Macaca mulatta: one gene and its partners. The protein of the gene in region 6 binds, or shares a complex with, the protein of the main gene of each other region. Links are inferred from orthologs where the notes say so. Each region holds a gene or a part of one and is shown on either strand. Other genes may lie near its edges.

Evidence for each region.
Region 1: NUP214 (region 6) and NUP85 share a complex: the UniProt entries of both Homo sapiens proteins name them as parts of the nuclear pore complex. The link is inferred for Macaca mulatta from reciprocal best matches to the Homo sapiens genes NUP214 and NUP85.
Region 2: NUP214 (region 6) and NUP107 share a complex: the UniProt entries of both Homo sapiens proteins name them as parts of the nuclear pore complex. The link is inferred for Macaca mulatta from reciprocal best matches to the Homo sapiens genes NUP214 and NUP107.
Region 3: NUP214 (region 6) and NUP160 share a complex: the UniProt entries of both Homo sapiens proteins name them as parts of the nuclear pore complex. The link is inferred for Macaca mulatta from reciprocal best matches to the Homo sapiens genes NUP214 and NUP160.
Region 4: NUP214 (region 6) and NUP98 share a complex: the UniProt entries of both Homo sapiens proteins name them as parts of the nuclear pore complex. The link is inferred for Macaca mulatta from reciprocal best matches to the Homo sapiens genes NUP214 and NUP98.
Region 5: NUP214 (region 6) and centrin-2 share a complex: the UniProt entries of both Homo sapiens proteins name them as parts of the nuclear pore complex. The link is inferred for Macaca mulatta from reciprocal best matches to the Homo sapiens genes NUP214 and CETN2.
Region 7: NUP214 (region 6) and CETN3 share a complex: the UniProt entries of both Homo sapiens proteins name them as parts of the nuclear pore complex. The link is inferred for Macaca mulatta from reciprocal best matches to the Homo sapiens genes NUP214 and CETN3.

The regions. Positions count from the first base shown.
Region 1 is NC_133421.1:84,893,998-84,898,281, reverse strand, and holds the start of NUP85 (nuclear pore complex protein Nup85), read right to left. Parts: upstream 2,801-4,284; 5' UTR 2,759-2,800; coding exon 2,726-2,758; intron 108-2,725; coding exon 14-107; intron 1-13. UniProt on the Homo sapiens protein: Essential component of the nuclear pore complex (NPC) that seems to be required for NPC assembly and maintenance. As part of the NPC Nup107-160 subcomplex plays a role in RNA export and in tethering NUP96/Nup98 and NUP153 to the nucleus.
Region 2 is NC_133416.1:75,841,611-75,845,110, reverse strand, and holds part of NUP107 (nuclear pore complex protein Nup107), read right to left. Parts: intron 2,351-3,500; coding exon 2,260-2,350; intron 2,114-2,259; coding exon 2,037-2,113; intron 590-2,036; coding exon 530-589; intron 1-529. UniProt on the Homo sapiens protein: Plays a role in the nuclear pore complex (NPC) assembly and/or maintenance. Required for the assembly of peripheral proteins into the NPC. May anchor NUP62 to the NPC. Involved in nephrogenesis.
Region 3 is NC_133419.1:17,750,756-17,754,255, reverse strand, and holds part of NUP160 (nuclear pore complex protein Nup160), read right to left. Parts: intron 2,043-3,500; coding exon 1,964-2,042; intron 1,418-1,963; coding exon 1,303-1,417; intron 227-1,302; coding exon 68-226; intron 1-67. UniProt on the Homo sapiens protein: Functions as a component of the nuclear pore complex (NPC). Involved in poly(A)+ RNA transport.
Region 4 is NC_133419.1:72,131,707-72,135,206, reverse strand, and holds part of NUP98 (nuclear pore complex protein Nup98-Nup96), read right to left. Parts: intron 3,047-3,500; exon of another isoform or gene 1,892-3,046; intron 1,758-1,891; exon of another isoform or gene 1,612-1,757; intron 1,203-1,611; coding exon 1,091-1,202; intron 964-1,090; coding exon 746-963; 3' UTR 1-745. UniProt on the Homo sapiens protein: Plays a role in the nuclear pore complex (NPC) assembly and/or maintenance. NUP98 and NUP96 are involved in the bidirectional transport across the NPC. May anchor NUP153 and TPR to the NPC.
Region 5 is NC_133426.1:159,106,006-159,110,251, forward strand, and holds the start of centrin-2, read right to left. Parts: upstream 2,801-4,246; 5' UTR 2,777-2,800; coding exon 2,774-2,776; exon of another isoform or gene 2,408-2,773; intron 1,826-2,407; coding exon 1,667-1,825; intron 1,345-1,666; coding exon 1,216-1,344; intron 746-1,215; coding exon 608-745; intron 19-607; coding exon 1-18. UniProt on the Homo sapiens protein: Plays a fundamental role in microtubule organizing center structure and function. Required for centriole duplication and correct spindle formation. Has a role in regulating cytokinesis and genome stability via cooperation with CALM1 and CCP110.
Region 6 is NC_133420.1:16,423,360-16,427,604, reverse strand, and holds the start of NUP214 (nuclear pore complex protein Nup214), read left to right. Parts: upstream 1-1,445; 5' UTR 1,446-1,564; coding exon 1,565-1,609; intron 1,610-3,162; exon of another isoform or gene 3,163-3,264; intron 3,265-3,695; coding exon 3,696-3,891; intron 3,892-4,245. UniProt on the Homo sapiens protein: Part of the nuclear pore complex. Has a critical role in nucleocytoplasmic transport.
Region 7 is NC_133411.1:96,792,236-96,796,255, forward strand, and holds the start of CETN3 (centrin-3), read right to left. Parts: upstream 2,801-4,020; 5' UTR 2,682-2,800; coding exon 2,665-2,681; intron 839-2,664; coding exon 703-838; intron 1-702. UniProt on the Homo sapiens protein: Plays a fundamental role in microtubule-organizing center structure and function. As a component of the TREX-2 complex, involved in the export of mRNAs to the cytoplasm through the nuclear pores.

The DNA of each region.
Region 1 (4,284 bases), on a different chromosome or scaffold from region 6:
AAAAAACCCCTACCTTTTTTGCTGAAGGAGGTTTCACACACCAGCATCTCCCCTGGACCCCAGTCAAAACACATTTGGTTCTTCTTGGAATTCACACCTGGAATCACCTAGTAAAATAAGACATAGAAATCTAAAATGAAGAATGTTCTTCTTACTGAAGTCGTTCTATTCTTTTTTTTTTTTTTTTTTTTTGAGACAACGACTCACTCTGTCTCCCAGCCTGGTGTACAGTGGCACAATCTCAGCTCACTCCAATCTCCGCCTCCTGGGTTCAAGGTCTTCTACTGCCTCAACCTCCTGAGTAGCTGGGACTATAGATGTGTGCAACCATACCCGGCTTTTTTTTTTTTTTCATTTTTAGTAGAAATGGAGTTTCACCATATTGCCCAGGCTGGTTACAAACTCCCGAGCTCAGGTGATCCACCCGCCTCAGCCTCCCAAAGTGCTAGGACTACAGGCGTGAGCCACCGTGCCCGCCTGGCTGAAAAACACTTTCCACCATGCCGGCCTGGCTGAAAAACACTTTAAGTGAAGAGCACAGCTGGTCCTGTAATAACATTGTATCCTTCAATAACATTTTCTTATAACACTAGTAAGAAAAATTCATTTTGTGCTGGGCACAGTGGCTCCCACCTGTAATCCCAGCACTTTGGGAGGCTGAGGTGGGCAGATCATCTGAGGTCAGGAGTTCGAACTCTTTTTTTTTTTTTTTTTTTTTTTTTGAGACGGAGTCTCGCTCTGTCGCCCAGGCTGGAGTGCAGTGGCCAGATCTCAGCTCACTGCAAGCTCCGCCTCCCGGGTTCCCGCCATTCTCCTGCCTCAGCCTCCCGAGTAGCTGGGACCACAGGCGCCGCCACCTCGCCCGGCTAATTTTTTGTGTTTTTAGTAGAGACGGGGTTTCGCCGTGTTAGCCAGGATGGTCTCGATCTCCTGACCTTGTGATCCGCCCGTCTCGGCCTCCCAAAGTGCTGGGATTACAGGCTTGAGCCACCGCGCCCGGCCAGGAGTTCGAACTCTTGTTGCCCAGGCTGGAGTGCAGTGACGCGATCTCACGATCTCCGCTCACTGCAACCTCTGCCTCCTGTGTTCAAGCGATTCTCCTGCCTCAGCTTCTTGAGTAGGTGGGATTACAGGCATGCGCCACCACGCTAGGTTAATTTTTGTATTTTTTTTAGTAGAGACGGGGTTTCGCCATGTTGGCCAGGCTGGTCTCGAACTCCTAGCCAGGTGTGGTGGCTCACGCCTGTAATCCCAACACTTTGGGAGGCTGAGGTAGGCGGATCACGAGGTCAGGAGTTCAAGACCAGCCTGACCAAGATGGTGAAACCCCATCTCTACCAAAAATATAAAAATTAGCTGGGTGTGGTGGCACGCACCTGTAATCTCAGCTACTCAGGAGGGTGAGGTAGAAGAATCGCTTGAACCTGGGAGCCAGAGGTTGCAGTGAGCTGAGATGGCGCCACTGCACTCCACCCTTGGTGACAAAGTGAGACTCCGTCTCAAAAAAAGAAAGAGGCCAGCCGCAGTGGCTCACACTTGTAATCCCAGCACTTTGGGAGGCCGAGGTGGGCAAATCACGAGGTCAGGAGATCCAGACCATCCTGGCTAACACGGTGAAATCCCGTCTCTACTAAAAATACAAAACAAAATTAGCCGGGCGTGGTGGTGGGCGCCTGTAGTCCCAACTACTGGGGGAGGCTGAGGCAGGAGAATGGTGTGAACCCAGGAGGCCGAGCTTGCAGTGAGCCCAGAGGGGCGCCACTGCACTCCAGCCTGGGCAACAGAGCGAGACTCCGTCTCAGAAAAAAAAAAAAAAAGAAATGAAACCATCCCTCTACCTACCCTGAGATGAATGCATACATAAATTTTTCCTCTACTCCCTCTTTTCACAGGTAAAATGCAGATTTACTGAGGCTAATCAGAGACTCACAAGAATGTAACCATTTGCCTCTTCACTGCCTAACCTCCCTTTTTTGCCCCTCCTGCTAGTTCCTTCCTCTTTAACTACTGATGTTCCCAAAACCATCTCTGGAAAAAGCACAAGTCTCAGATCCTCCTGGGACCTGTGTTTTTTCCCGGTTGGATCCTCAACCTTAGCTAAATAAACCTTCATCGGTTGAGACCTGCCTCAGTCAGCGGTTAACAAGAGAAAGAGGGAAAACAAAAGCATTCCAAGTAGCAGAAACGGTAGGTATGTCGCACATAAAGTCCATGAATTTTTTTTATACACATCACAGATCATCCACAGTTGACATACTCTCTTCAAAGTTCAAATGGAATTGAATGCACAGCGATAAAATATGAATAGTCTCCTGAGATAATACGTTTAATAAACCTTAGGTCACACAAGCAGAACTCAACGTGCCGCGATGCAGAGCTTAATATGGCTGGAAGAAAAACATAAATTCCTCTGCTTGGGCTGAACCCACTCTAATACCCAAGAGGAAATGCGAGGGAAGTAGAAAGGTCAGCAAGACAAAAGAAGGAAAGGGACGGACTGGGACCTTCGAGGCCTGGCTTTGTGACTGGTGGCAGAAACCCCGCGACCACTACGACCCGAGGTCGGGCACCTAGTTAACACTGCGACCTCCGGAAAGTGGCAACTGAATCAAGGGAAGGGGACGAGAGCCTCGCAGCCAGTAGGGAAGCAGACAAGCCTGAAGTAACGAAGCAGACGCAGTTCTCAACCCACAAGGACGATCAAGCCTGTTCGGGGTGCCCTTACAGTGACTGCTGGCTCGCCATCGAGCTCCTCCATAGCGCCGAACCCCAGGCTCTGGGAAGTCGCCGGGACGTCAATGCTTCCGGCTCAGGCCTCCCGCTCAGAGCTGGCTGAGAGACAGGACCCCGCCTGGGCGCCTCCTGCAGCGCCTGCAAGCCCAAACCTTCAGTGCTGCGGCGCTCTCTTCCCTCAGCCACGGCCACCCCTCTGCGGTCCTCTGCGCGCGTCCTTCCTTCCTGGCGTCGACAGCAAGTCAGGGAAAACAGCGCCGAGGACGGACTGCACTCACAGTACCGCGCTAACGGGATCAGGCGGCGCCGCGGACACCCTGGTGCCGAGCGGAGAGAAGGCCCCCGGAGAGGGCGGGCGGGGCAGGAGGAACCCTTGGCCAGAGACGGTGCGACTGCGCGTGCGTAGGCTGGGGCGGCGGCACCTGGGTGGGAACTTGTGCCGGACTGAGGTCCCAGTAAGCCTGCAAGCTTTCCCAACTCTGGGAGTCCTCGCTCCATCCTTATCTCCACCTTAGTGTCGTAGCAGCCACTTGTCCAAACCCAGTCAAATGGGCTTGTGCTGGAAAGCAGTCGCCGTCACTCCCACACTAGAACACACACAAGAGGCACGGGGAGGCCGGGCGCGGTGGCTCACGCCTGTAATCCCAGCACTTTGGAAGGCTGAGGCGGGCGGATCACAAGGTCAGGAGATCGAGACCATGGTGAAACCCCGTCTCTACTAAAAATATAAAAAATTAGCCGGGCGCAGTGGCGGGCGCCTGTAGTCCCAGCTACTCGGGAGGCTGAGGCCGGAGAATGGCGTGAACCCGGGAGGCGGAGCTTGCAGTGAGCCGAGATTGTGCCACTGCACTCCAGCCTGGGCGACAGAGCGAGACTCCGTCTCAAAAAAAAAAAAAAAAAAAAAAAAGAGGCACGGGGACAAAATCGATGCTCCTGAAGGATTAGAGGCTTGAGGTGGCTCAAGCCTCTAATCCCAGCACTTCGGCAGCCCGAGATGGGCGGATCACTGGAGGTCAGGTGTTCAAGACCAGCCTGGCCAATATGATGAAACCTCGTCACTACTAAAAATATTTTAAAAATTAGCCGGGCTTGGGCAGGGTGCGGTGCCTCACGCCTGTAATCCCCAAACTTTGGGAAGCCGAGGCGGGTGGATCACAAGTTCAGGAGTTCGAGACCAGCGTGGCCAATATGGGGAAACCCCCATCTCTACTAAACATACAAAATTTAGGCCGGGCGCGGTGGCTCACGCCTGTAATCCCAGCACTTTGGGAGGTCGAGGTGGGTGGATCACCTGAGGTTGGGAGTTCGAGATCAGCCTGACCAACAGGGAGAAACCCTATCTCCACTAAAATTACAAAATTAGCTGGGCGTGGTGGCGGACACCTGAGGCAAGAGAATCGTTTGAACCCAGGAGGCAGAGGTTGCAGTCGGCCGAGATCGTGCCACTGCACTCAAGTCTGGGTGACCAAAAAAAAAAAAAAAAAAAATTAGCCGGACTTCGTGATGGGCGCCTGTAATCCCAGCACTTTGGGAGGCCGAGATGGGCGGATC
Region 2 (3,500 bases), on a different chromosome or scaffold from region 6:
TAAGCTTTCCCCTGCCAACTACATCTTGTAAGATGTTTGAACTGTTCAGATTTTTTCATACTGTTAACAACAACATGTTTTCCAGGCTCATATGACATTTCAACTGATTAGTGTAGTATCCCTAAAGATAGCTATAATATGTGGGGAGTATTGGGTTGTGAGAAAAACATGCGTATGTAAGACAACCCAAGGACTCACTGTGCCTTTCTGGCACATTTCTGCATACAGCTATGAGTATTTTAAGTCATCAATAAATGTGTGTTGGAGTTAAGTTTACAATTCTTAGTTAAAAACTGAAATCTGATTTCATTCATTAAAACACCATGTATGTTATGGGATACATCAAATTAAGCACAACGAGTCACTATCTGATTCATGATTATCTCTATCATTGCTACACTTAAGTATGTACATACATACTTAAGTATATACACTTAAGTTTATATTTGTTAAATACAATTGTTAGAATATTTTATCTATTTAATTTTATTCCACAGAAAAAATTTAAACATTAAAACAGATTGCATACCTGCTTAAGATTCCCACTTAAAGCTGCATAAATTGCTCTCTCGTATCTATTAAAAAGCTCCTAAAACACAATGAACATAAACAAATTTGAAATACTGTTTTTCTTAGTATGTCAATTTTCCTCATAATGTGGAGTCTTGCAATCTCTTCTAGACTGAACCTATTCACCTGATAGTTTTTAAACTTTAGTGAAAGATCTAGTGGGGTAATAACAAGGAAGAACTTCAGTGTGATGAAATAATCAATGCTGAGATCTGGAGAAAAAAAGTAAAACATTTAAATGCCAAATATCGGGTGAAAGCAAATCCAACTCTAGTGGATGCTTTGAATATTTAAAATCAAATTTTATTCCAGAAACAACCTATATATTATTTTCTCCTAGAATGTTTCTCAATACCTGATACTCTCTGATATTGACCTGATACTCTCTGATACTGACCTATGTACAACATCAAAACAAGGCATGCATTAGTTTGCATCTAATTTCTATGTAGAACTAATTCCCCATTTTACTTTTGGTATTTCCAGTTTTCTTATCATCCAAACAAGAGACTTCAGAGACTCTTACTGCATAACTGAGTCCACCTCTGCCTTCTGTTTCTAATCACTGCTCCTAACCAGTGTCTCTTCCTTCCTTTCCATTCCCATCAATACTATCCTAGGTCAGACCCTTATGACTTAGTGTCCAAATAATTCTGACAGGCTCCTAACTACTTTCTCAGCCTTTTGTCCATCTAATTTTAAGTATATTTTTCCATTGCCAGGCTGATCTTCTCAAAAACACTTCTGCTATCTGCGCTAAAGCTTCTACCACCCTGACAGCCAATTCCACAAGCAAACTTTGGGCCTTTTTCAAGGTAAAGTGCCATATTTATTGTAGTATTTATGTATTTTTTAAACTGTTTGACAGATGTAAAACTGTGCTACCATTTTTATTAACTTTTTATTATTTTACGTATCACTAATGAAGTTTTTGAGTATTTTTGTCTTAACTCCATTTTCCTGTTAAGTCCTATGGGGTTTTCGTACAATGCTGCACATTGTGGTGACTTTGAATACCTATGTCATGTTACAACAGAACTGACAGTATTTCCTTTATGAGCATTCTTCTCCAACCTGGTAGACCTACCTTACTTTGAGTTTCCCAATCTATGTATCCTACCTAGAATTCCTTCCTCTTGTTTTTCATTCCCCAAAACGCAAATCCTACTAAGTTTTAAAAGTTCAATTCAATTCTTTCCTTAGGGAAGCCAGCTTTAAGCTTTAGTCCAATACTTTTTCTCTAAATTCATTTGGTACCTCCTTTACATTTCTGCCTTATATCAATGCTTAATTCTTAGTACATAGTGTTTTAATAATTCTGATAAGTTGTTAAGCCTATTCCTCAATTTAATTGGAAGTTCTTTGAAAACCAGTTTTACACTACTTTCAACGTTTCATAGCCCCTGAATAGGCTTTCAATTAATTGGAGTTAAAAACAGTATCACTGAATATTTTATTTATCTTACATCTTCTGCCATTCTCCAGCAACTTATTTTCCAAATGCGTCTATATGGATTCCCTTCAACAGGTTCTAATTCTGTTCCTATAAAACAGTAAAAGAAAATTTCTGGTTTAAAATGAAACCTTATTACAATCCTTTCTAAAAAGAGAAGCTATAGTTCACAAAGATTGGCATTTAGAGCGAAATGCCTTTGTCCTCAACTGTCAATATAAAATCTACTAAAATACCTCCATTAACATTAGGGTCATGGTACAGTTTCCAGCCTTCAAGTGTTGCAGCTCTCCATGCTTGACCACAGCGTTTACAGAGTCGTTGTGCCTTAAGAAACAAGAAAAAGCAGTCAGTACAATAACCAGGGTACTTTAGAGTAAAGTATAACCAATATATGACAAGTTTAGATAACTTATGGAACAAATGTTACAAGGGATGGATGTAGGCAGTTAATAATGGCATTCTGGCTGGGTGCGGTGGCTCACGCCTGTAATCCCAACACTTTGGGAGGCCAAGGCAAGTGCATCACCTGAGGTCAGGAGTTCCAGGTCAGCCTGGCCAACATGGTGAAACCCCGTCTCTACTGAAAATAGAAAAACTAGCCCGGCGTAGTGGCGGGCACCTGTAATCCCAGCTACTTGGGAGGCTGAGGCAGGAGCATCACTTGAACCCAGGAGGCAGAGGTTGCAGTGAGCCAAGATTGCGCCACTGCACTCCAGCCTGGGTGACAGAGTGAGACCCTGTCTCAAAAAAAAAAATAAATTAAATAAATAAATAAATAATAAATAATGGTATTCTATTTTTAAAACATATGTATGTCTTTCTGTGGCTTCTGCCTTTATTTTTCTTTCTTTTTAAAAATTTTTTGCAGAGACAGAGTCTCATTATATTGCCCAGGCTGGTCTCGAACTTCTGGACTGAAGGGATCCCCCCCACCTCAACCTCCCAACGTGTTGGGATTACAGGTGTGAGCCACCATACCTGGCCCTGTTTTTATTTCTAAAAAATCCCTTTTCTATTTGACTTTAGGCTTAACAATAGGTTCCCACGGCACCCACTGGCATTTAATTCTGCTAGAAACAAATGGGGTTAAAAGAGGTTGATGACCTCTGATTTATGAAAAACTACTACAAAAACAGTCTCTAATGACAAGGCTGTTACTGCTCATTTACTCCCCTGATAATATTGCATGTTCAACTTGACCAGTAAGTCAGTAAGTAAATGTGTTTATATACCAGTAAGGTAAATACATGTTTGTTGTTCCATCATCCCTTTAGGGAATCACCTTTTCCCCATTCTTAGCTCCTATGTTTTGGATAGGCCTGATCCCATTCCAGAACTCTGAGTTTAGGGATGTGAGCTATAGCAAGATTCACCATCAGGACTCTTGCTGGAGATACTGGGAAAGAAAATATACTCCTTTTACTGAGATTGCTAGCTGGCAGGAGGATGTAAGCTTGGAGCGTCTCATATCCAT
Region 3 (3,500 bases), on a different chromosome or scaffold from region 6:
GTCTACAGCCATTTCTCCACATCAGTACACACAGAATAACTTGGTATGTGTCTTATGTGTTTCATACCTGTCCTTGTTTTGGTGCATGCATGTATATCCCTATGTAGAGTCCCATGGCAGGGGAATAAGCAAGCCGTAATTTGTGTCCAGTTCCAGCAGTGAGCCGAAGGTCTTTCTTCACAGGGACATATTCCAGCATGTCAGCTACCATCAGGCACATTTGCTCCTGTCCAGGAAAACAGTTAATAGGTGATATTCAAGGGATATTCAGGCTAGAAGAACGTACCTTTTGAAAGGATGGACCTTTCATTATATCTACCACTCTATCTAGTTTATCTGCTAAAAGACCTTACAGGTTTTTGTTTTAAAAGGGCTAACACGGGCCGGGCGCAGTGGCTCACTTCTGTAATCCCGGCACTTTGGGAGGCCTAGGTGGGTGGATAACCTGAGGTCAGGAGTGCAAGACCAGCCTGGCCAATATGGTGAAACCCCATCTCTACTAAAAAATACAAAAATTAGCCAGGTGCAGTGGTGCATGCCTGTTATCCCAGCTACTTGGGAAGCTGAGGCAGGAGAATCACTTGAACCTCGGAGGCGGAGGTTGCAGTGAGGTGAGATTGCGCCATTGCATTCCAGCCTGAGTGACAGAGCAAGACTGTTTCAGGGGAGGGTGGGGGGCGGGAGGCTAACATGTAAAACATCTCTTCAGTCTGAAATATAAGATCAGACTCATATAAAATATAAGCTGTATTTTTTTAGATGAATCTTGAAAACCATTTTACCAACTTACATTTTTAAAACATATTTGTTGCTCTTAAATGAAACATCCAGCCTGGGTAACATGGCAAAACCCGGTCTCTACAAAAAATACAAAAATTAGCCAGCTGTGGTAGCATGAGCCTGTAGTCCTAGTTATTTGAGCAGCTGAGGTGGCGAATAGCTTGAGCCCGGGAGGCGGAGGCTGCAGTGAGCTGCATTCATGCCACTGTACTCCAGCCTGGGTGACAAAGTGAGACTGTCTCAAAAAATAAAAATTTTAAAAAAAGAAAAAATAGTGAAATGTATACTTTGTACTACTCTTTCAGTGTTCCTGTAAGATTGATAATTTTTCCAAATAAAAAGACAATAAGGAGGAAAATATATGCAAAATAAAGCTAAATGAAACTGTCTGAATCTGGAAGTGACCAATAATTTCCAAACTAATTGATCTGATCATCTTTAAGAGAAACAGCAAAATTTATTTCAATTCTCATGATTCACAATGCTATTTTAACTTACAGCAACTATAAATGTAGCACTTACCTTGTAAGACCACATTCGTAGTTTATGATCCTGACACAGAGCAAAGATGAAGGCATCATGCTCCACACAATGAACAGCAAGACTGAGGGGACGATCTGAAGGCGACTGGTCACCCCTAAAACATAAGACCCAGTTTTAGAGTTTTACTGCTGCAAAGTATCTCATCATTAGAATTTGCAATTCAAGAAATATAATAGAATTATAAATGTACACTCTTAGCAGAAGGACCAAGAGCTTATATGCTAGTATAAGACAACTACATTTCTATTTGGTTTATCACCAATTACTACAATAAAATTTAAAAGGCTCTACATAACAATGGAAGACTGTTTCCTTTTGTATTGTTTTCCTTTAACCATCAAAAACTTTCTACTTCTGATAATTTTACACAAAACTCGATTTGGGTAAGTCAGGGCAGAGCACCGAACTGGGTATTCTGAGAATATAAACAGTAGGCTGCTTTATGCTGTCAATGCATCCAATTGCAGACGAAATGGACTTGGGAGTATGGCTTTCCTCAGATGGAATTTGATTTTATTCTGACTGTTCTCCTTTCCAGTATAATGTTTGCCTTGGAATAAGACTGGAAACAATAACTGCCGACCAGTACAAAAAGATTAAATTCTTGGGCCCTTTGATTTACCTACCAGACACCACTCACCTGATGGCTGTTGGCATCCAGCCTGTAAGCAATCGTTGCATTACTGAACTCTGTTTCAGCTCCACAACTGACACCATACCTGCAATGATATCCAAGGCACCTCTTGAACACACTTTGAGAAACCCAAAGGCAAGAATGATGTAACCACGAACAAGGTCTTTATAACAGGCAACAGGCTTCTGTATTTCTGTACTAACAAAGTTTTAGGACGTAACTTTCCTACATATATCACACCTAAAATATTTTGAATCATTATTAGATCCATAAAAATAGCATTTTTATACTTCCCGTGGAAATTTTTGCCTTTTACAGACAGTAACCCATATTGCCACCCAGCAGAATCACTTCATTCTTTCCAAAACAATCCCTAGGTACCTTTCCTGTGCCAGGCACAGTCCTAGATGGTGGTGACATAGCAGTAAACAAATTTTAAAACTCCTGTCCTCATGGAACTTATATTCCCTTAGGGGAAGGGGAGAAGCAGAGACAGTTAAATTAAGTAGAATGGCAGTAAGTCAGAAAAATAAGACACAAAAGGAGTACAGAGAATGCCAAGACATAGGGAGGGCAGGCAGGGACACCGCAATTTTGAAAAGGGTGGTCAGGGAAGGCCTCAACGAGGTGACATTGAGTAAAGACCTAAAGGAGCTGCGGGAATGAGCCAAGCTAGTAGCTGGCTATACCAAACGAATGCCTTGAAGTAGGGGTGTCCCGGCATATTCAAGGAATTGCAAGAAGGTATGTGGCTGGTGAAGAGGAGGGGAAGAGTGAACAGATGAAGGTAGAGAGACAGCAGTGGGTCACTCTAGGCCACTGTAAGGACTCTGGGTTTATTCAGCATAACATGATATATTTAAAACCCAACTTAGGTCATGTTGGCCAGGTGCGGTGGCTCACGCCTGTAATCCCAGCACTTTGGGAGGCTGAGGCAGGTGGATCACTTGAGGTCAGGGGTTTGAGATCAACCTAGTCGATGTGGCAAAATGCCGTCTCTAACAAAAATTCAAAAATTAGCCAGGCGTGGTGGTGGGCACCTGTAATCCCAGCTACTCAGGAGGCTGAGACACAAGAATCGCTTGAACCTGCAAGGTGGAGGTTGCAGTGAGCCAAGATGGCACCATTGCACTCCAGCCTGGGTGATAGTGAGACTGTCTCGAAAGAAAGGAAGGAGGCCAGGTGTGGTAGCTCACGCCGGTAATCCCAACACTTTGGGACGCCAAGGTGGGCAGATCGCAAGGTCAGGAGTTCGAGACCAGCCTGGCCAACATGGTGAAACCCTGTCTCTACTAAAAATACAAAAATTAGCTGGGCGTGGTGGCAAATGCCTGTAATCCCAGCTGCTCAGGAGGCTGAGGCAGGAGAATCGCTTGAACCCAGGAGGCAGAGGTTGCAGTGAGCTGAGATCGCGCCACTGTACTCCAGCCTGGGCAACAGAGAGAGACTCCCTCAGGTGACCCGCCCGCCTTGGCCTCCCAGAGTGTTGGGATTACAGGTGTGAGCCACAGCGTCCGGCCCTTGGGTTTTAAATATATCAGTC
Region 4 (3,500 bases), on a different chromosome or scaffold from region 6:
AAGATGACTGAAAACCAGGGACCAAACCAAATTCTGGGAGCTTCCCATAGACATGTCACATATGACCAAGGGCTCCTGCACATAGTAGTAGCAAAGGTATGGTGTTCATGGAACACTAAAGGCAGGAACAAAAGAAGCTCTGAAGATCAATCCCTCCATGGCAGGCATTCACTTCTGCCCTAAGTGTGTCAGAAAGATCCCATTCTGTTTCCTAACTCAGGCCAACCCTCCTCTGCCTCCAAAATTCAGTGTTAACTAACCAATTACTTAAGAGACGGATCCCTCTTCCTTCTGTGGATAGTTCACCTGTTAAGGATCCATTACTACCTGTCTCACTCCTCCTAAGGAGTCCTAGCATAAAAGGGCCAGGGTAGGAGTAGGGTAGCTGGTTGGCATGGAGGGTCACAAGATCCAGAATGGCTAGGGGTGAAAAAGGATTCCCTGGTTCTTTGGGGGATTCTGCCAAAGGAGCTTTATTGACCATTTATTAAAAGGAAAAACACTGGTCTTGAGGATGGTAAAAAGAGAATTGTCTCCTCTTCTGGGTTCCAGAAGCCCTTATGCTATGTTTAGTATTAAGAAAAGCCCTGAACAACTGGAGGATGCTGCTTGTGGCAGCAGGGAAGGAGGGCAGATGCCATAGCCAACCCAGAGAATGGCAAACAGTGCCAATCCAAACAAGGCAGGGAACCTCTGTGTGGTGAGTGTGAACGGGCATGTGAGTGTGATGCAAAGAGTCTGGGGCTCACAGGCTCCCAACAGCGAGTTCTCGCAGATAGGACTGGGTAAGGCTGCGCAGTTCGTCCATGGCATAGTCCTCAGGCATGGGGAGCCGGCCAATGTGGGGAGCCAAGAGGCGCAAAGGGACTCGCTGAGGGTCTGGTGTTGAGTCGGAGGTTCTATCAGGAGCATGATGCAGACTCAGCACCACCCGCAGCAGGTTGGCTACACGTTTGGCCATGTCTAGAGAGAAAAACTAGAGTTAAGCACTGAGCATGGGTCTAGAGAACGGTGGCAGGCACTGAGGGTGGGGTGTAAGATAAAAACAGGAAGCAAGAAGGCAGAAAAAGTGAGGAGATTAGAGGCTTACCTGACTGAGCTAGGCGATCTTTAGCATTGTAACACTGAATCTGCTCTATGCGACTGCACAGTGAAGTCACTTTGATGTGTAACTGCTCCAGGTCATAACCTGAGCAATCCACCTACAAAGAAGCAGAGAAGTCAATTAATCCAAGGGGAGTTCCTATCACTCAACACCACCTATAGACTCTATACAAAACCTTGAAACAACAGTGAGGTGAGGGAGGGGAAAATCCAAGAAGATGACACAGGGTCAAGCCACCACCATCTAGTGGAGGACAAGGCACTAATTATGCAGTAACAGACAAGAGGAAGGTAACATAGTGTACACAGCCTTGGACTAGGAAAGTCTTGAGATCCCGAAAGATACAGCAAGCTTTAATAATACAGCAAGCTTTAATAATACAGCACCAAAAATCAAGATAAACTGGGTTCAGAGAGATGGTATGACTTCTTAAGAGCACACAGGAAGTAAAAAATGCAGCCTGAACCAACATTTAATTTAGGTCCCCTGACTCCAAGTTTATAGCCTTTTCTATTTTTTTTTTTTTTGAGACGGAGTCTCGCTCTGTCACCCAGGCTGGAGTGCAGTGGCGGGATCTCAGCTCACTGCAAGCTCTGCCTCCCGGGTTCACGCCATTCTCCTGCCTCAGCCTCCCAAGTAGCTGGGACTACAGGCGCCTGCCACCTCGCCCGGCTAAGTTTTTGTATTTTTAGTAGAGACGGGGTTTCACTGTGTTAGCCAGGATGGTCTCGATCTCCTGACCTCGTGATCCGCCCGTCTCGGCCTCCCAAAGTGCTGGGATTACAGGCTTGAGCCACCGCGCCTGGCCTAGCCTTTTCTAAAACACCAAAAAAGCTGGGTGCAGGCAGCAGGAGGATCAAGAGCAAGACAAATTATTTGCTCTCATGAAACTGACAGAAACTAAATAAGAAAACATAAAACAGTAATACATCCTGAAAAATCACAAGCCATGTAGATAATTTAAACAGGTGGATGTTGCAGAGAGAAACTGGATAGCTACTTGAGACTGGAGGACCAAGAGAGGCTTCTTCAAGGAGGTCATATTTAAGTCGAGACCTGAATTACAAGGAGAGAGCTCAGCTTTCCAGGCAAAGAGAAGACAGCTAAAACTCCCAAAGGTGAGAATTCAAAGGAGATTTACATGGTGACATGTGGGGTAAGGGGGAAAAGCAGAACAAACCAATACTAGAGAGGTTTTATGTAACACAGGCTTTTTTTTTTTTAAAGGGGGGCTCTCGCTATGTTGCTCAGGCTGGTCTCAAGCAACCCTCCTGCCTCAGCCTCCCAAAGTGCTAGGATTACAGTCACGCACCACCACATCCAGCTATGTGCTGGCACATTGATAGTTCTCTTTGCTTAACCCCTATACTTATGAAGCTACAGTAACTGCTGCTTTACTTGTATATATCTCCCCCACGAAATCATTATTTTGGTAAGGGCAGAACACATACTGTTTACTTTTATATTCCCCAAACCCACTACAGTGCTTGGCACACAGTGAGTTCTCCATAATAGTTGTGTGAATTACTCAATATTCAATGAGAAAGTGGTTTCTTCAAATGATTATTTAGAAATGATGCTCTTGATTCACATGAAAAGTACAGCAAACATTGAATTATGCCTATTATGTGTCAGGCGCTGTACTAGGAGTTGGAACTTTGATGAGGATAATAATAGGTAAAAATTATTAAGCATTTAGTAGAGGCTAAGGTCAGGAGTTTGAGACCAGACTGGCCAACATGGTGAAACCCTGTCTCTACTAAAAAAAAAAAAAAAAAAGGCTGGGCATGGTGGCACACGCCTGTAGCCTGTAATCCCAGCTACTGGGGAGGCTGAGGCAGAATTGTTTGAAGCTGGGAGATGAACGATGCAGTGAGCTGAGATTGTGCCACTGCCCTCCAGCCTGGGTGACAGAGCAAAACTCTGCCTCAGCCGGGCGCGGTGGCTCAAGCCTGTAATCCCAGCACTTTGGGAGGCCGAGACGGGCGGATCACAAGGTCAGGAGATCGAGACCATCCTGGCTGACACGGTGAAAGCCCGTCTCTACTAAAAAAAAAATACAAAAAACTAGCCGGGCGAGGTGGCAGGCGCCTGTAGTCCCAGCTACTCGGGAGGCTGAGGCAGGAGAATGGCGTGAACCCGGGAGGCGGAGCTTGCAGTGAGCTGAGATCCGGCCACTGCATTCCAGCCTGGGCAGCAGAGCGAGACTCCGTCTCAAAAAAAAAAAAAAAAAAAAAAACTCTGCCTCAAAAAAAAAAAAAAAAAAAAGCATTTAGTACATGAAAGGTACTACGTTAAACACTTTATGTAGATTTGGTTTAATCTTTGTGAAAATCTGTCAGATATGAGCTGTAATTTGTACTACTGTCTACCCCACTCACCTTTCTCATTCAGA
Region 5 (4,246 bases), on a different chromosome or scaffold from region 6:
AGCTTCATCAATCATTTCCTATATGACAGTAAAGATTCAGGTTAGATTAATTTATAAACTAATGCCAAAAGGTGACTAAGTAATATGACTCTTTTTAGAGACGGGGTCTCTATGCTGCCCACACTACTCTCAAATTATTGGCCCCAAGCGATCCTCCTGCCTCAGCCTCCTAAAGTACTGGGATTACATGCATGAGCCACTGTGCCTGGCAAGCAATAGACTTTTAATAACACTATGTGAATAGATAATTGTAGTCCACCCAATGCCAGTATGCCACTCCTGATAATAGCTTGGTTCCTGAAAACTTATTTGAAAACCAACTCATACTTTGTCAAACATTATCACCTGGGAGGGAGCTTGAAGATTACCTTGACTAGAGGGATTCCTGGAATGTAAAATAGTAGGCAAAACTGTGCCTATGTGCATTTTTCTGGAAGCAGCGTTCATAGGTTTGTCTGACTATTAAAGGAGAATTCAGTTGTCCACAGAGGGACAAAGTACACTGGCTTTCCTTCAAAGAAGTGCTCACACTAGGGAAAATGTAACAGAAAAGTCACAGAGGGCCCAAAGGTGGGAATCTTAAGTTCCAGTGTGATGCATTACAAACCTGCAGCTCCTCATCAGTCAGGTTCTCACCCAACTCCTTGGCCACGCGTTTCAGATTTTTGAACGAAATCTTCCCAGTTTCATCATCATCAAAGAGCTTGAAAGCTTTCAGGATTTCTTCTTTGGTATCTTTCTCAGACTTACCAAATAGAACATGAAACACATGAGTAGGGGGACACCATGGTTACTCATGTCCTGTAGCCCTGCCACTGCCCGGTCAGGTCACCCTTTCCTTTTTAACAATGTAACTCGAGTCTAGACTTGCAGCAAGTGTCAGGAAGCCCATTTTGGCCTCAGAGAAACACCAGTCAAGCCAGGCACTCCATCCAAGGTGACGTTTGCTCCCTATCCCTATATCTCTCCCTATCCCATATCTATTTCCTAACTGGTTTAGAATTCTGTGGGAAGAGGTATCTGCTTGGAAGTCTTGAGAAAGAAGTACAAGGGCTTGTTTTGGGAGCCCAAGGTAACATGATGGGAGGGCAGGCCTCCTGATGCAGCTGCTACCTGGACTGCTCTGTGGTCACATGACTGTTTTAACAGGCAGATGCCATGGGCCTCTGCAGATGACTGGGGCGCCATACCATGCAAATTGTCTTAGCTACTCACCATTTTCTGGGTCATCACAGTTAAAAAGTCACCAAAGTTCATTTTTCCTGTCCCTTCTTTGTCAATTTCACTTATCATTTTCTTAATTTCTTCTTTCTTAGGTTCAAAGCCCAGGGCCCTCATTGCCACCTATAATGAAAACAGGATTGTCTCAATAAGCACATCTGAACTAGCAGCAGCAAAAACAACAGTGTTGAGAGCATTAAGCCAGCATCTGATGTGGTCATGTTAATATGATTGGGGAACACTATAACATTGATCTAATTGACATTTGCAATCAATTTTATTTAATAATACTCTAAGTAAAGACAGGAAAACAGAGCACAGTACAACCTCCCCTGTTACTTATTGCAGGGAGAAGAGGGCAAAAGGGGTAGAGAGGTGATAGGGAGATGACAAGGAAGAGGCAGAGGAAAGGAAGGGCAGTACGGCAGGAATGCATAGAGCTTGCCTTAAGTTCTTTAACATCTATGGTGCCAGTTCCATCCGCATCGAAAAGATCAAAAGCTTCCCGGATCTCCTGCTTCTGCTCTTCAGTAAGCTCAGGCTTAGGACTCATTCTTTTTCTCTGGGAACTTGATGCCATGTTTGTCTTCTTAAAGTTGGAGGCCTTCATACGTTATGCAATACACAAGCACAATAATATATCGTACAGTCCATATTTACATAACATAGTTACAGACACCCATATGTAGTTTTAAATAATTTTATGGCAACCAATTCCAAAGCTTTGCTTAACAAGAAAGATAACAGGGTTTACTGGCAAGAACAATGAATCTTTCCATGAACTTCTATCCCTCCCTTTTCTTTACTGTCGTTTCTAGAAGCAGGGAGATCACTTGTTCAGTAAGGATACCTCTTACTGAAAATCATCCCAAAAGAGAGCTAGTCAAGAAAATGACTGCGAATAAGTAGAGATAATCAGCTCTTCCCGAATGTGGGGATCCTGGTTCTGGAAACTGCCTTACAATGCCCACTCCCAGTACTCCGCTTCCCAGTAAGCACTCTGACTTCCCAATTACTTCTAGATTTGGCCAAATATTAGCAAGTTGTTAAGATGTATATTGTGTCAGTATCGAGTAATAAAACTCAATCCATCTGACACCTTCGTGCCTTCTCCAAGAAGCTACAGCATCCCCTGAATGCCCCTATATTTAAATTGTAAAAAACACTTTAATAGAACACAATACACCTTCTCCCAGCTCTGTGTGGAAATTTTGGCAGAATGAGGCGGCCAGGGGGCCAAGGTCTGAGAAAGTCAGGGGCCTGTGAGGGATTCGAGTCTTTTTTGCCCAGGGAGGTTCACCGAGGTGATCAGGGAAGGCCAGGGGAGCCCGAGGGGCGGGTGTGGGCCTGTTGTGGGTGAAGGGGAGGCAGCAGCAAAGCGCAGGCCCAGTAGGTTGGTTAGCGTCTGTACCCTACTCTTCCGGGAAAGAGCTCAAAGGAAGGACTGGTGCGTCAAAGCCGAGAAAGGCGCAGGAGAGGCGGCGTGGCCGAGCTGGGGCCTGGGAAGGGCTCAGCCTCTGGGCGTGGGGCGCGACAGAGCGGCAGCACTCACCATAGCCAAAGGAGTCCACGGCCGGTTGTTAGGCAACCGACGTGTACACTGATTCGGCGCCGCTCCCACCGCCCCGCGCGCACAGCCCCGCTCCCCATTGGGCGTCCGCTCGCCGCCGCCGCTCCCTACTGGTGCAGGGCCGAAGAGGGTGGGACTAACCTGGCAAAGCCCAGGCCCAGCGCGGGGAGGGGCACGCTGGGGACAGAGACCTGTCTTTATTGGGCAAGATCAAGCCGTGAGCGCCAATTGGCTGAGCCGACGCCGAGCTGGGCCAATCCTCTTGGTAGAAGAAGCTCGGCTGATTCTCGGCTCACGCGGGAGGGGAGTAAAGGGTGGCGTTCCGGGGCTGGAGTTCGGTGGGTGCAGCCTGCTTGCGAGCTGAGGCCAGCCAGTGGGGCACCTGCGGACGGGTAAGAGTCGTGGCCTTGCCCTTGGAGGCCACCCTGTGTCAGCGACTGGGCGGGGCGGGAGGGTGAGGAGCTGCGGGGCCGCCCGGGTCGGGTGCTTTCTGTGCTGACCTAAGGCTGAGTTAGGGACCGAGTGCATCAGAGCAGCCAGAGACGATTGACCTTGCGTGTTGGAGCAGGGACTGTACTCACGGGGCAACTGAGACCCGGAGAGGGGAAGGGGTCTGCTGAGCGTTGTGGCAGAGGTCGGACGGCTGGGACCTAGGAACTGAATCCAGCCGAGGCTCGCTCTTTGAGGGTGGCCCTTCGAGAGCACCCCCAGACTGACCCAGATGTGTAGGCCCCAGACCAGGTTCCAAGAGAGGATCACTTCAGGTCTTACCTGGCTAAAAACAGCCCAGGACGGTGAACTGGGGGCTTTGGGAACGGACTTTGAAAGGAGTGAAGGGGATGTGAGCAAGCAAGAGGGGCGGGGAGAGGTCATCAAAATATACTCTTTTTGACACCCACACAGTGCAGATAAGGAGGAGCATTCCAGGCCGAGACGCCCTCATCAGCAGAGTCACAGGAGTTTTGGAAGTGAGAGGTATGCTTGGAGAATTAAAAGGGAGCGTGTGCAAGGGCTGTGTGGACTGAGACAGACCTGCAGAAGTGGAGCTGGAGGTCCAGTTTGCCCTCTTTAGCTGTCTACGTGGCTTTTAGCCTTCACCTGATTTTCCTCCAGGCACTGGGGCAGTAATCTAGGGAAGTAGAGGGCAGAAAGTAAGTTTTTCAGGCAGAGAAAGGCCTGAGGCTTATTAGAACCTTTTAAATGGAGCTTCTGCCCTTTGCCCTCTTCAGCAGTGAACAGACTCCTAATTTTTGGGTCATCATCATCCCCCCAAGTAGTACGAGCCAGAGTTCTCATCATGGTCTCCAAAGCTTGGCACGACGTGTCCCCTCCCATCACTCCACAACTCTTCTCTCAGCCCCAGAACACTGGCTTTGTGGTTGAACCTCATGTGCCAGCCACACTACTGCCTCTCATCTTTGTCCCAGTTGTCCTCTCTGTCTGCCTCCTCTTAAG
Region 6 (4,245 bases):
GAGCATTTATAATTCACTACAGAAATTTATTGTACGAAAGACTGTAATATCATCAGTCAGCCTTATATCCAGACAATCTCAGTTCTCATCCTGTCACTACCACTTTCTGACTGAGGGCCACCGGAGAAATTTCTCAACTTCCCCTGTGCTTCCCTTACCTCAACAATTATTATTATGTATGTGGATGTGTATATATACATATATATATCTTTTTTTTTTTTTTTTTCCTGAGACGGTCTCTGTCACCCAGGCTGGAGTGCAGTGGCGCAATCTTAGCTCACTGCAACCTCCACCTCTTGGGTTCATGCCATTCTCCTGCCTCAGCCTCCTGTGTAGCTGGGACCACAGGCGTCCACCACCACGCCCGGCTAATTGTATTTTTAGCAGAGGTGGGGTTTCACCATGTTGGCCAGGCTGGTCTCCAGCTCCTGACAGGTGTTCCACCTACCTCAACCTCCCAAAGTGCTGCGTACAGGCGTGAGCCACCGCGCCCAGCCCATTTTTATTTTTTGAGGCAGGGTGTGGCTCTGTTACCCAGGCTGGAGTGCAGTGGTACAATCACAGCTTACTGCAGCCTCGACCTCCTGGGCTCAAGCAATTCTCCCATCTCAGCCTCCTGAGTGTGCTGAGACTACATGCGCATGCCATCACTGCTGGTTAATTTTTGTGGTTTTGTTTTGTTGTTTTTTGTAGAGACGGGGTCTCGCCATGTTGCCCAGGCTGGTCTCAAACTCCTGGGCTCAAGCAATCCTCCTGTCTCGGCCTCCCAAGTGCTGGGATTATAGGCGTGAGCCACCGGCGCCTGGCCTACCTCATCAATTAAATAATAACCCCTAGGATGACTAGAAGTCTTCAAGATTACATGAGATCCCACATCTGAAGGTTTTTGCAAAGGACGTGGCACAAACTCGTGCAACTAGAGATGCATATGGCTCTTGCTCTGGAAATGATCACCTTGATAGGAGCAAACAAAGCTGGTCTTCCGTGCCCTTTAATCTCCCCTTCCAGCCTTCCACCTTCCACACTGGCGACCCCCCAACCCCGTTTTTCTGAACCTCCCTTCCTCCCCTTGCATAGCCCAAAGCCTCTCTCTAAAGTAGCCCACCGAAAACATCTGTCAAGTTCCTAACTTATCTGAATCGGAAGCTACTAATAGCCAACCTACATCTAAGAGGAACTGTAAGGTGTCAGAGGAACAAGGAGCATAGGTCGCTTAGACGTGGGCCACCCAAGAAGACAGATTGACACTAAGCGAACCCGCGCTGTCTGCGAAGGCGGGAGCGGCACCAGGACGATCCAGGGCGCAGGCGCCGGGGCCCCACGGCCACGCCCCTATTCAGCACGAGTTGGCCAATGGGGAGCGGCGGCCGGGAGAACGCGCGGCTTCTTTAGGTTCCGCTGCCTCCCCGGCCAAGCTTGACGTCACCAACGCGCGCCGGAAATGCGAGATCAACTGCGCGCCGCTGGCGCTGAGGGAAGGAAGTTTGCAGTCCAGCGGCCTAGGTTCTGTGGGCAAGGCCGTGGGAGGCAGCGTTGGCTGCTTCGACACACCGAGGGCGGCGCGATGGGAGACGAGATGGATGCCATGATTCCCGAGCGGGAGATGAAGGTCAGAGACTAACTGGGGCCTCCCTCCCTTCTTTAGTCCTGGCGTTGCCTTGGAGCCCAGCTGAAAGGCGAAGCGCGGTGCCGGCTGTCCCGTCTCCTGCTTGAACAGACTACCGCGTTCACCGCTCTCAGCTGCGCGTCTGCCGCGCCGCTGGCGTGATAGCCCCACCGAATGCAGTTTCCCAGTCCCATCCTGGTCTCGTGCACGTCTCTTGAGTTACCCTAGCTAGTTTCATGTGGCGGTCACAATAGTGGCAATAACTGCTGTGTATGGAGCGTTGACTGTGTGCCAGTCGCTGTGTAGTCATCGCAGCAGCCCTACGAAGTGGTTATTAACGTAGAGGAGTAAGTCGAGGCTCGGAAAGTGATTTCCCTAAAGTCACATTTGACAGCGGGGCTGAAAGCCAGCATCGTTTAAGACCTTCGCTCTGCCAGTATTTCTGTAAGGCGGTACGGGCTTGCCTAACGTAGGGTCAGGGGAGGTCATCCATCCTGCAGAACCTTTAGTTGACTGGACTAGGAAGACTGTTTTGATATCGGTGTATCAGCCTCAAACCAGGAACCTAAAGGGAGGGCTAAGTGTTTCCAGTGATGGCAACGTGGGAGTCCCCCAGGGATAACTTCAGGATGGTGTGTTTAATAGTTCTTATATGTGTTCTGACAGAATGAGGGTGCAGCAAACGGCCTACATCTGTTTTAAATAGTGAAAGGAAGTAAGATGCAGGAAGATTTTAGTCATCTGTGTGAACAGTAAATCACTAACATGCATGTAGGGCATAGTAATACATACCCTGTTTAGAATAGTGATTTTTTTTTTTTTTTTTTTTTTTGAGACAGAGTCTCGCTCTGTCTCCCGGGCTGGAGTGCAGTGGCCGGATCTCAGCTCACTGCAAGCTCCGCCTCCCGGGTTCACGCCATTCTCCTGCCTCAGCCTCCCGAGTAGCTGGGACTACAGGCGCCCACCACCGCGCCCGGCTAATTTTTTGTATTTTTTAGTAGAGACGGGGTTTCACCGTGTTAACCAGGATGGTCTCGATCTCCTGACCTCGTGATCCGCCCGTCTCGGCCTCCCAAAGTGCTGGGATTACAGGCTTGAGCCACCGCGCCCGGCCTTTTTTTTTTTTTTTTTTAAGACATAGTCTCGCTCTGTCACCCAGGCTGGAGTGCAGTGGCATGATCTCGGCTCGCTGCAACCTCCACCTCCCCAGCTCAAGCGATTCGCCTGCCTCAGCCTCCCGAGTAACTGGGATTACAGGCACCTGCCACCATGCCTGACTAATTTTTTATATTCTTTGGTAGAGATGGGGTTTCACCATGTTGGCCAGGCTGGTCACAAACTCCTGACCTCAAGTGATCTGCCCTCCTCTGGCTCCCAAAGTGCTGGGATTACAGGTGTGAGCCACCGTGTCGGCCTAGAATAGTGATTATTTTTTGAGAATCACCACCTGTGGTGAGCCACCTAATGGGATTGTGTCATATTCCTCAGATATACTGGGGTAGAAGAAAAAAAGGGTTTATTAATAGAATCACAGACTTAGAAGATGGTAATCTCAGACTCCCTTTGGCAGCACATATAAAATTGGGATCATGCAGAGAAGACTAGCATGGCCCCTTTACATGGATGACACACAAATTCGTGAAGTGTTCCATGTCAGAAAACACTGAAGGCCGAGCGGAGTGGCTCACGCCTGTGAGCCTGCACTTTGGGAGGCTGAGGCGGATGGATGACTTGAGGTCCGGAGTTCGAGACCAGCCTGGCCAACATAATGAAACCCTGTCTCTACTAAAAATACAAAAATTAGCCGGGCATGGTGGTGGGCGTCTGTAGTCCCAGCTACTTGGGAGGCTGAGGCAGGAGAATTGCTTGAACCTGGAAGGCAGAGGTTACAGTGAAGCAAGATCGCCCACTGCACTCCAGCCTGGGCGACAAAGCGAGACTCCGTCTCAAAAAAGAAAAAAAGACAACTGAGACAGACCGTGTTCTCAGTAATATATATTTTTGTTGTACTGAAATTGGGTCTACTGAATATAACTTGTTTTAATTTCTTTATTTATTGAATTGATCTTGTTTTGATTCTTCACAACAGGATTTTCAGTTTAGGGCGCTAAAGAAGGTGAGAATCTTTGACTCCCCTGAGGAATTGCCCAAGGAACGCTCGAGTCTGCTTGCTGTGTCCAACAAATATGGTCTGGTCTTTGCTGGTGGGGCCAGTGGCTTGCAGATTTTTCCTACTAAAAATCTTCTTATTCAAAATAAACCCGGAGATGATCCCAATAAAATAGGTAAGTTCCGTGGTTTATGTTGCAAAGTAGAGAGAGGAGTGTGGTGGCATGCTCTTGTGTTTCCTTCCCAAGAAGTCATTCTAATACTAAAATGAACACTGCTGTCAGTTTGAAGGTTGACTCCCAAGAAGATTAATGGAAGCCTTTCTAGGTTTTCTCCTTGGTCCTTTGTACTTTTCCTTACATGAGTTGTTCTTCTCAGCTCAAGAGGGAAGAACTTAACCATTATGCCATACTTTTATTCTTGCCCAGTTGAACTTGGGCTCTGGCTCTCTGGGTGAAGGGTTTTATTGGCATGGGTTTTCAGTTGGCACAACAGTACGATCCAAACTATTGGCAATGTGTACTATTTAG
Region 7 (4,020 bases), on a different chromosome or scaffold from region 6:
CCTTAAGAAATTACAAAAATTAAAACTATCAAATAAACACTTACATTCACCTATCCATTAAGGCTATTAAAAATCTCAAAATACTATCTTTCCCACTGTGCTGAAAGTAAGTCCCATTCTACCCTAAACCCAAATCTCTCCTTATACCCTGACAAATAATAATTTACAAATCCCTCTCTACACCTTGACATTCTAGGTCTTAAAGTTGACATTTTTACCTACAAGCATGTGTCAACATCAAACAGCACTGAAGTTGTTTGTACCACAGAAAGTGGATTGAGACTATGTTACTAACAAATACAAATTATAAGATTAAAAGACAACAATCCCACAATCTGAAAACAGTATGAGTCACCAAGAAACAAAAACAAAAACAAAAAAAACAGTGAAAAGAATATGGTAATAGTTTAAATTCCAGTTTGAAATCCTTTAATTATGTCAGTGAAAAATAAGCACCTTCCCTAGGAATGTATTGTTACATTTAAAATGCTATTCGTTTTATCACGTGAAAAAGATTTTCTAAAAACTGTGTTAGGAGTTCTATTCAGTATTATTATAGAATCTAACTATGAATGCTTAAAATGCCTTCATAGTTCCAAAACCAATTTAGTTAAAATAATTACTTAGAAATGTAATGTAAAGCAACTGTCAAAATGCAAATCATTTTAACACAGAAACAAGTATTTTAAAGTATACCATTACCTTTAATTCATGATAATCTATTGCTTCATCTTTGTCTGTATCAAATAGTTCAAAAGCATCTTTAATTTCTTGTTTCTGTTCCTCAGACAGTTCTCTTCTTTTTTTCCTCTTTGTTTTGTCTACTACAAGCTCACTTCTATGAAATGGAAAGAAAAAGCCCTTAGTCCACTTTAATTCTCTTTACTAACAGAAATTAGCCAATAATTATTTTCTAAATTTCAAAAAAGAAAGTACTTTGGAGAAAGACAGGGAAACTTTCCCTTTATGAGTCAATGCCCTGTTTATTCCATAGTCTAAATTGCTATAAATATGAACTTCCCAAAACTAAAGAGTGTTACAGATTATTAAAAGAAATGAGGACCAAACTTTTCCTTTTCCCAGCTTTTTATTTATTCCCACTTTCCCTAACTTTTTATTTATTCAAGAACTGTGAATAAGCAACATTACTTTTATGTCTGAAACTCCAACCAACTCCAACCAAAAAAAAACAAAAACACTCACATTATTCTACAAGAATGTTAAAGAAACCAAAAAATCTCCAAATGAAACCAAAATTCGTAACTGACAATCACCATATATCGGTTTACTTTTGATAGTTCTGATAATTAAGTTCATAAAATTACTACAAAAAATACAACTGGATTAACTTATATTTTGGGACTGTTGGTTCAAAATGTTTTTAGATTACACGTTTCTAACAGTTTGGCAATTTATGTGTCATTTCCTCCACTGATATTAACAAATCACCCAAAATATTAATGAGTCTAAACATATGACAAATATTAGATGTCAAAAAAGTATACAATATTTGTGCTTCATAAGTCTTGTCTCACTTAAGATGTAAACTGGAGGTTAAACTTCTCATAAACTCTGGAAACGCTTAAAGAAAAAAGCAAAAATTACTTTAAAGCCAGAAATGTTTTCCGTAAGAGCTGCCCATCTAAATGTGCTCCAAGTTTTCCAATGGAGCCGCAACACTGGTATAAGAACAAGTTTTGAAACACACAATCTGGTAACACATTAACATGTCAAAACCAGTTGACTGTATTTAAAACACGTATCTAGCTGCATTTGAAAGTCGTTTTGGTCTCTGAACGCTACAAAAAAAAAAAAAAAAAAAAAGGCTAGGAAGTGACCAGTAGATGCAGTATGACAAAGCTGAGGAAGATCTTCCTTTCATGAGACCTGACTTGACACAAACTTGGGTATTCCTGGGGTCAGTCTTTTCCTTCCTGAGACTTTTAGAGGCCAAGTCCAGAACCGACCCACCCCTGACCCCATCCAAGGGTACCATGATTATCCCTTAGCAGAACATGGAACATTTTTAGAGTGTCCTAAGTATATGTATAGTTTTACGGTACAACGTCTACGTAGGGGGAGCGGGTAACAGACAGAGGGTTAGAGGTTAGAACTGAAAGGTAAAGAAATGAAAGAAACAGGAAATCCAAGAGACAGTTTGCCAATTAGTCACTAAAATGGGTTTCTAATTACACCGTAAAGCAGGACCTTGGGAGAATAGCAAAGAGTTTTTTGTTATTTCCAAAATTTATAGGTGGATGATTGCATCAGCAGCAGAGCAGCGGAGGTGGGGCCCTGGCCAGGCATACGAATTGAATGAAGGGATGTTCCGCGGCCTGATCTCTCAGAGCAACAGAGTAGAAGCCTCGCGATATTTCATTCCCTCCCCCTCGCTCGCAACTAAGCCCATTTTTTTGGTAGTCGAAAGCCCTACGCGCTGACAGAAATAACCTCCTTAGTAGAAATGCACTGGAAGTCTCGTTCCCTGCAGGGCACCAGAGCCCAGAGGGTGAGTGATCCAGACAGGCTGCCCTAGGCTCCTTTCCCGCATCCCAAACAGCATCCCCTGCCTCGCCACGGCCCCAAACGGCCTCCCTTCCACACACACCCTCCCTAGGTCCCGCTCCGGGGTGTGGAGAGCACTGCCGCCTCCTTATTACCGACCTCAGAGCTAAACTCATTATCTCTTCGGACAGAGTCGTTCCTCTCAAGAAACGATTTTAACCCCCTACCCAAAGCAGCAAGACTCCCACAACCGTTCAACAGACACGAACGACCTCAGCGGCCTCAGGGACCTCCCACAACATAGACACTTTTGAGCTGGATTGGTTGAAATGTCGCTATGGTTCTGCCCATTATGGCGGAAGCTTTACCAGTTTTATTTTAATTGGGTACGCTTTACGTCAATCAAGAAAAAAAAAAAACCTCTCTCTCCCCGCCCCCCCCCCCCCGCCACCCACCCCGCCCCTCCATTCCTAGGGCCGCTCTCGCCCTTCGGATTGGCCTGATGCCTTTTTCCCCAAATCCTTTGCGGGTCCGGCCTCCGATCCCTGTGTGGTGGTTTGCGTAGTGGGTGCTCCTAGTCTCTCGCGTATTGTCCTGCGGTCTGTGGGCCGACGTTCGAAAACTGGATAGATAACTTGGACGGTGGGAAGGGAAGGGACACGCTGCACGCCACCCTCCGGCTAGAAGGAGGCAGTAGTTGAGGAACAAGGTCTGCGAAGCGTGGCTCTGCTCTGTTCTAAAACTTTGGATGGCTTCAGTACCTGGGGAATGTCTTTAAAATGCAGACTTAAATGCCCCTTTCTCCATTCTAATTTCAGTAGGTATGAATCTGCGTTTGTATTCCTCACAAGCCTTCCAAGTGATTCTGAGGCAGGTGCTGTGACTATACTTGGATTATCACAGGGTTAGATTATCAGGCTATTTATGGTGATGCTGTATCTAAACCGCCCTTCCCTCTCCTTTTCCTCCTTTGAACTGTTTGAAACGGATTTGTTGGCTTCTGTCTCTTATTTTACGGTGCTGTAAATTGTTAATACACGTGAGACTGTATTCACTACCAAACCAAGTCTCCTAAAGCTCACTTGAATGTCTACTTATTCGTCTCCCTTACCAGGTTCAGTTTCTTGAAGGCCATGATTATATCTATTTAACGCTTTTCCTTGTACCTAATAAAATGTCTGGTGCATAGGTGCTCGGTAAATTGAGTGGAATCTTTTGAAAACCCACAAAATACTGAGCTAAACAGCAAATCTCATAAACGGGAATAAAATAGCCTGAGAATGGGAGTTGAAGGCGGAGAATATGTAAACATATGTTTAAGGGATGTATATAAAATTTTAGAGAAGGGAGAGAGCACAAGATGGGCTTCCTAAAGAGGTGGCATAAACGTTAGACCTACAAGGATGGGCTAAATTTGCACAAGTAAAGATAGTATGATAGAACAAGCTAAAAATTAGCTAAGGGATAGCACCCCTAAAAAACAAAAGCGGAACTTTTATTTTGTTCGTATTTTAA